Oreochromis niloticus: one gene and its partner. The main gene of each other region encodes a partner of the protein of the gene in region 2 in a complex. Links are inferred from orthologs where the notes say so. Each region holds a gene or a part of one and is shown on either strand. Other genes may lie near its edges. The genes, in order: get1 and camlg.

The links.
Region 1: camlg (region 2) and get1 share a complex: the UniProt entries of both Homo sapiens proteins name them as parts of the golgi to ER traffic (GET) complex. The link is inferred for Oreochromis niloticus from reciprocal best matches to the Homo sapiens genes CAMLG and GET1.

The regions. Positions count from the first base shown.
Region 1 is NC_031979.2:14,818,518-14,822,117, forward strand, and holds the start of get1 (guided entry of tail-anchored proteins factor 1), read right to left. Parts: upstream 2,370-3,600; 5' UTR 1,982-2,369; coding exon 1,892-1,981; intron 1,429-1,891; coding exon 1,263-1,428; intron 1-1,262. Other genes in the region: hmgn1a (non-histone chromosomal protein HMG-14A-like), read left to right, coding at 2,717-2,731. UniProt on the Homo sapiens protein: Required for the post-translational delivery of tail-anchored (TA) proteins to the endoplasmic reticulum (ER).
Region 2 is NC_031975.2:23,197,751-23,201,887, forward strand, and holds the start of camlg (guided entry of tail-anchored proteins factor CAMLG), read left to right. Parts: upstream 1-1,202; 5' UTR 1,203-1,382; coding exon 1,383-1,533; intron 1,534-3,018; coding exon 3,019-3,461; intron 3,462-3,588; coding exon 3,589-3,654; intron 3,655-4,137. UniProt on the Homo sapiens protein: Required for the post-translational delivery of tail-anchored (TA) proteins to the endoplasmic reticulum.

The DNA of each region.
Region 1 (3,600 bases), on a different chromosome or scaffold from region 2:
GTCTCAACATATTAATTTTTCTTTATTTTGTAGTGATACTGCCAGTTCCTTTAAATCAGATGGAACTGTCATTTTGTTTCACTTTATTATTTGACCATCCCATGTCAAGGGATGAAACCAGGATAAATTACTTTTTTTAACCAGTCACAGGGTAACAGGGAAAGTATTAGTCCATTCTTTATATGGGCTTTGTTAATACCAACATTACACAAAGTAAATCTTTTGCTTAAGTGTAAACAGACAGCACTATTACTTTTTATTCAAGAATCAGGTAAGGATTAGAGTCAACACTGAGAATCACAAGACAGTGCGGTCAGAATAAAATCAAAATAATGACTTAAGTACATAGAGAAGAGCCTGGGTGTAATGCTGATTGTACAATAATTTAAAATTGACAATGTGCAGGTTTTGGAATATGTCAGCAGGGAAACAGTCTTTAGTAGCCTTTGTATTGCTAAGTAAGTTATCACACAGAACAGACAGTGTTTCTTTACCAGATTGCCTGGGTCAACAAACCAAAACAAGAGAGCATGAACAAGAGAGGTGAAGAGTAGAGGGCATGCAGGTTGGAGTGGATGGAGACAAGTGTCAGGGGTGATTTGTGACAGAAGGATAGCAACAAGAGTGAAAGGGAAGGTTCATAAGATGGGAGTAAGATCTGCTATGATGTATTGTTTGGAGCCAGTGGTGCTGACAAAAAGACGGGAGCTCAAGCTGGTGGTGGCAGAACTGAAGATGGGAGTGACCAAGATTGACAGGTCTGCAGTCTGGTGATATGGTTAGAGGCAAGCTAACATGGTTTAGACAAGGTTTTAGACATGTGCACAGGAAGCTGGGTGGATATACTGGATGAAATGATGTTTAATATGGAGTTGCCAGGCAGGATGAAAAGTGGAAGACCACAGAGAAGACTGATGGATTCAGTGAAAGAACACATGCAGAGGGTTGGTGTGACAGAAGTGGATGCTAATCCTGAGGCTGTGGGGCCAAAAACAGTCACTTACCTCTAAAAACCCCCAAATATGTCTTCTGATTGATAATTTTTAACATGTAAATCTACATTAACAGACATTCACATCTGTGGAAGACATAATATATGCCCTTTAAGAATACCTACTACATATTTTCTCCTGTGTTCCATAAAGAAAAAGCAATTAGTTTTAACTTTTTAGAGCTCATCACTCTGATGCAGTTAACTTCATTTTGAGGCTCCTGTCACACCAGCTATCCTCTGAATGTCAGTAGGCACTTTTACATCTCACCATGTGTTTTCAGCTTGTCTGTTGTCTTGTTGATTTTGCGCTCCAGTCTGGCATATCTAGCAAACTCATCCATCATGCTAATGGAGGACTGCTCCTTCTTCATCTCTTGGATTTCAGCCCTCATCTCACTCTCCTGCTCAGCATCTTTCTGCACCATCTTTGAGAGCTTGAAGAAGGGCAAAGAAAAGACTATTACTGAGCAGCCTGGGCCTGACTGAAATGTTTATAATTACAGTACTAGTCCCCATTAGGCAGTCTAATCAGTACCTATGAATGTCAGTTTAACACTTAAGATTTCCATGAGGCAACCTTTCGAGCTACAAACAATCTTTAGCCGTATAGCTAAGCTGTAAACACAGTTTCTTAACATTAAAGCAGGACCTTTGGCGATAAAGGAGGAAAAAGAATCCCAGTTAAATGCAGCAACTACCGGATTCTCGGTTAACCCCACCCTCTGGTTGTAGCTCAGCTATAACTGAGGAGGTACAACAGCTATAAGTTAGCTTGACAGACGGCTAAGCAAGTCAACAACAATCCACCGTGTGTCCGACGAGGACACAGATAATAATACACCGGCATTCAAACAACTTTAACAACTACCATATATGCAAACAATAACTCCTACTCACGAAGGAAGATATGGTCGGTAGAAGGATTTTCATAAGATTGCAGAGAAAAACCGAGCCAAGCACCAGGAACCATGCATAGCCGGCCGCCATGTTTGTTTCCTTTCTCCTCCACTCAGTCAGCCTCCTCCTTGTTGCAGCTGTTGAGCGGCTGGACTGCTCAGTGCACTGACTTTAATAATTATCCCACTAAAGACGGGACATGCTGTTAGTAATTACGACTGTCTTTGAACACTGCAGTAGTGAAATAATGTAACGTGCATATATATATGGCGTCCTCTATAATAAAGGACTGGATGGGAAAGGGAGAAAAATGCAGGCACTATTATTTTTTTAATAATCTTCTTTCTTTATGTAAACTATATCTCAAGCTCACCATCTGCCATACATTATTTAAACCCTACACGCACACACACAACTAATACACCCGGTGAGCGGCCAGCCAAGCGGTTATAAAGTTAGATAAGGCCTGGATTGACTGATTGGCACACTGTCCTGCCCACACAGGTAGAGATGTTGTGTTTCAAAAATATGCTGCCTCATCCTCAAAGCCAATCACAGGAAGCAGTGGGCGGGGGCTCTCTCTTCCTGGTAGGTTGGTAGGATAAGGGATAAAATATACCGAGAGGGGGATCCAATCCGGTTTGAGCTAGTTCTGGTACTGCTCGGACGTTTATGTTAAGTTACAGACTGCAGCTGGTGGAGGTGTAGGCAGAGGTGGCTGGGCTGACAAAACAACAACAACTCCTCCTTTTGTTTGTGTAACTGTTTTAAGAAAGGCAGTGTTCCTGTTTTTTTTAAAATTCCTGCCGTGCAACCTAAGCAACAATGGGAAGGAAGAAAGTAAGTGGAAAGAAAATGTGTGCTTTACGCTTGGGTCGGCATGATGCAGAAATAGCGTTTTAAGAAACTGTAGCAGTTGTTTTGTGGTGTTAATACACGTATGCAGGAGCAATGCAATGCAACACGCTACGGCGTGTCCATGTGCGTGCCGTGGAGTCCACCTTTGCCTGCGCTCAGGTCTGTCGTGTCTCACTCCGCTGATACAGGGAAGTGGCGCCTTTTTACTTAGCACTGCTTTTTTCGCTCTCTCCCCCCCAGTCCAGTTAAAGCTTCTGTTTTGTAAACCGTGTGCCCGGCTGAGTTTTAATAGTCACCAACTGTGCGCCGAAACAAAGGGGTGTAATCACCATCGAGGCGCACAGGTTGGCATTTCGGGGAAATTTCTTTCGTAATTGCCTCCTTATTTATTTATTTACTTGTGCTCTGGGTTACACGCGTGCTGTTTCAGGTACCAGCTGCACTTTCAGGGACGTGTCGGGTTTTTTAGTCGCATTTGCGGCCAAATTTGGCGGAGATTTTGACCTCAGGCGAGTGTGCGCGCACTGGAAGGCTGGTGCGCGTCACTCCTGAGGTGTGCAGTCCCTTTCCCCCCCCCCCTCTCTGGTTTGGCTCGTTAATGGCAGCTGATGTATCCTCGACAGCACAGCGACACATCTGGCCGTTTTGCTGTCAAGCGGAGCTCTATTAGTAATGGAGGATGACCTTATTATTTTTTTTTTATTTTTTTTTTTTTTTCCAGTTTAGTCACGCTGGTGATATAAACAGTGACAGCAGGCGGAGTGAGTCCACTCCTTATTTCTTGTGTCCACGGAGCTGCTGTTGCTTTGTGGGAAATAAACTCGCACCCGCCAGATCCTTCGAGTCAGCTC
Region 2 (4,137 bases):
TTGTTTGTTTTTTGTCAACAAAGAATAAAATGTTGTTAGCCTATGTCCCCGCCTCAGCGATCGATCCCTCTGGTATCTCCCCTGGAATTTTATGTGAATGCTTAGATCCAATCTTCCAAACAGCTCATTATATAGAAGTACTTTCTCTAATCTTTACTCTTCAAAACTCAGTTTGTCAACCACAATTTACTTCATTTAATTTTGTTTTATCAATTAAATTAATTAAATCATAAATGTTAAAAATCAAACTTTCTCTGAGTATTTGCTTAGTCATTCTGACCAAGCACTACAGACCTCAGACAAGCTCTAGGCTGTGTGCCATATTTAGATTCCCTGCTGGTACAATCAACCTCAGCACAAAAGCGCGCACACTCACCAAATCACAGTAAAAGGTCAGGAGATTAAATATTAAATCAGTTTCATTACACAAATTGATTTCTCATTCATCATATTACTTAGACATATACTTTGATTATAACTTTGATACAAACGAAAAACACACATTGATAAGCTCTTTACTAGAACTTTGTTTCACTGTAATCATAAAGGCTGGATGTTAAGACCTTTTATCCTGTCTCCAATGTAGTGAGAGGTTCAATCCCACGTTTCTCTACAGTGCTAATACTCTATCGTAGAATATTGATCAGTGGACATTTGTACTGATATGGCGATTCTTGTGATATGGTGATTAAAACAAAAAGTATGAAATTATCCCGTTTTTTGTTTTCTTTTTAAACATTTCTGTTTAGAATTTACTGTGAGATATTATGCTTTGCCACTCAGAAAACACTGTTTCCTTAGTGTGTTTCTTTGTACTTTTATACGCTCGTTAAATGCTAATATTTTTTTTACATTTTTATGCACAGTTTCATGAAGGCGTATTAGAGCCACTGAAATGCATAAAGAGGTTGAAGATTCAAATAAACTAAGAATAAAATAAATAAAGAACGAAACGATTAAATTTACCATAAATATATATATATTTTTCATAAATATAGCGAGTTTTTTTTAAACCTTTTTCTTGTAAACTTGCCATTTGTTTTTATCCTCACCTTTCTTTTTGAAAATTTATGACCCGTTTTTGTTGTAAATTTGCCTTTTTGCAGTAAATATATATACCCATCCAGCCCCTTCATTACTATTATTTTATTATTATTGGTCGTAATAAATCATCACAAATCATTGACGTAATCTAAAAAACGTCTTTGTCACTTGCTGACATCATCACCGTGCGCCACAGTTAACGCTCGTCGCTCGTTCGTGTTAAGCGTTTAATTCAGTGGTCTGAGGCTTCTGTGTCGTGTACCGTGAGCTACTGAAGCGCTAGCTTTATGTACTGTGGGCTGAATTTGCATTAAAGGCTAATTTACTTAATTATCGACATGGAGTCCGGGGAGGCCAGCGAGGAGAAGACGGGCTCCATGTCGGCGGCGCAGAAGAGAGCGGAGATCCGGAGGAAAAGGCTGCTCATGAATTCAGAGGACAGGATGAACAGGATCGTGGGAATCACCAAAAACGAGCCTGAAAATAACGGTAATCGGTAACAAACGATCCTCTGAATTTCTCCTGGGCGTGTCTTTCCTATTGAAACACGTTGTCGTGACAGAGACCCGCCTCATCCTGCTGCTGCAGTCAGGACGTTAGTGCTGTCTTTTAGGACCATAACTTACTATGTAAATAATCGGGCTCACTACAGATATATTAACTAGAAGAGGAAAATGGCAGCAGCTTGGGATTCAAATCATGCTAAATGCTGTTAGCATTAGCAGGTGCGGATCAGAGGGTGGCTCACAGGCTGCTCAGCTCCCTTAAACAGAATAATTAATACACAACAATACAGCAGTGTAGATAGAAGGTACCTCAGCCAACCTGTCCTATTGCACACAGGCTTTAAGCCACCTGCAGAGAAGCTGCAGTAGTCAGTACATAAGTAAACAAAAAATACATGCCAAGCATATCTCTCGTAACAAATATCTAGTGATTTGGAACCAGAAAGCACAGGAGTGAGTGACAAGGTAAACGCTGCAGTTGGTTTTTGGCTGTGACTTTTATATATCCTTTATTTATCAGGGTAAAAAGTGTAATTGGCATGCAGAATAGAGAGATATAGCCAAAAGGTTAGCTGAAATTGCAACAAATAATTATTGAGATATTTTAAGTGGCCCAAAATGACTGGATTTATTATAATGTAGGTACAATAAGCAAAGATATTATACATTGAAAATGCATAGAAAAATCAGAAGTGGCAGACAAGCACTCTATGGCACAACACCAGCATTACTGTCTATGATCAGCTCCTCACAGTACAGATGTCATTACCTTTCTTTGGCAACACATCATAGTTATCATGTTTCAAAAAGTGACCATCATCAGCAGTCACTGTTCTCTTCTTCAGTGTGGCCATATCTACTGAGCCCCAGGCTCTCCTCCTTCATCATGAGTGCCCTTGCTGAAGTTATCCTACTCTAAATATCCAAAATCAATCTTCCCAGACTTGAATGTGTTGAAATCCTCAATTCTGTGGAACATACTATGAGTTTTGACAAGTCCTGATTGTTTTTGCTCAGACCTCGCTGTTCTCACTCACTCCTGTGCTCTTGAACACTGTGAGGCACGGGAAATGGCTGTTTAAAAAATTATGCTGACATTAACATCCCAGTTTAACTTCAACAACACAGACAAGCTGGAAGTCATCAGAGTGTCTTCACTCCATCAAACCCAGCAAAAAGAAGCTTACTGGAAACTTACTGGTACTACAATCTGTTATCCATATTATGCTGTCTCTGAACTGAAGTAAAACCATCATCCCCTGTACAAAATCTAAACTGCTTGCAATTTGTTTATAAAGATCATTAGTTAATTTGTTAAATCCTTTTGAATTAAAGCTAAAACTCTGCAGTTACATCACACCTGGATTTGTTTGTTTTTTTTGGGGGGGGTGGGGACTTCTGCATAGCTGACTAATCATTTTAGCACTAGCTAATGTCATATTACTGATTATTGTCTTCTCATTGTCAGGAGCGTCACGGCGTCCCGCAGAACCCCGGTTCCATCTGCCTCTAGAGCCATGGTCCACTGCCTCATCTTCTCCTAGACCGTCTCCAGGGATTGGCAGTCACTCCCACAGCTCCACCCCGGAGAGGAGAGGCTCACCCCTGCCAGAGCTCTCCAGTGAGCCACCTGGAGGATCCTCGGAAGATGATATCGGAGGAGTCCGGCGGAGACCGAGGGGCGAGCGGCCGTCAGATGATGTCAGTGGCTCTCCTCGTCCAGGCTTTCTCTCTGCATCCTACTTGTCTCGTTTTGATGATGCCATGAAGCTTCGGGGTCAGCTGGCCAATGAAAAGCCGGCCGAGGACGGAGGGTCAGACTCAGAGGAGTTTGATCCCTTCAGGGTCTTCAGGCTCATCGGCAGCGTCCTCCTTGCTGTTTTTGTCAGGGTTTTTGTCTGCAAGTATCTGGTGAGCCTGTAGCTTTTAACAGACTTGTTAGCGCACTAGTAAGGAGTTCATTTTTACATTTTATGCCAGTATCAGTACCAAATATGTATTTATTTGTTAATGCTACATTTATCTTGTTTTATTTTAGTCAATATTTGCTCCATTTCTGACACTTGAACTGGCCTACATGGGGTTGTCCAAATACTTTCCAAAGGTGAGTTTTTACTTTTTAAGACTCTCATCAGTCTGCATGCACACATTGTGTAACAGCTGTGGACAGCACTACAAATAATATTTTACTTTTGTTTTTCCTCTGTATAAATGGAAAATCAAATACAATGACCTATTGCGGTTTCGCCGATGTAGTTGTGCTGTTTCTGACAGCCCAGTCTTTTTAGCCGCAATCTTCTCAACCAACCAACGCCAAGTTCATACAAAGTTCAATATTAAAATGGACATGAGGTCCTGGAGCACGCCTATGAATTCACAGCCTTAATTCTGCTACACTGCTGTGTCTTCAGAGAGGACTAACCAGTCAGAGTGGACTAACCAGTTATAGCTAACCAAGATCATGTTTACACTTCTCAATGAATTATTGGTTAAACAGGATTTCAAATCTACTGGACATTGTATCCAGGGGATGGAAGTTGCCACACCCATCACCCCCCCTTTTTTTAAAAAAAAAGATAAAAAACTA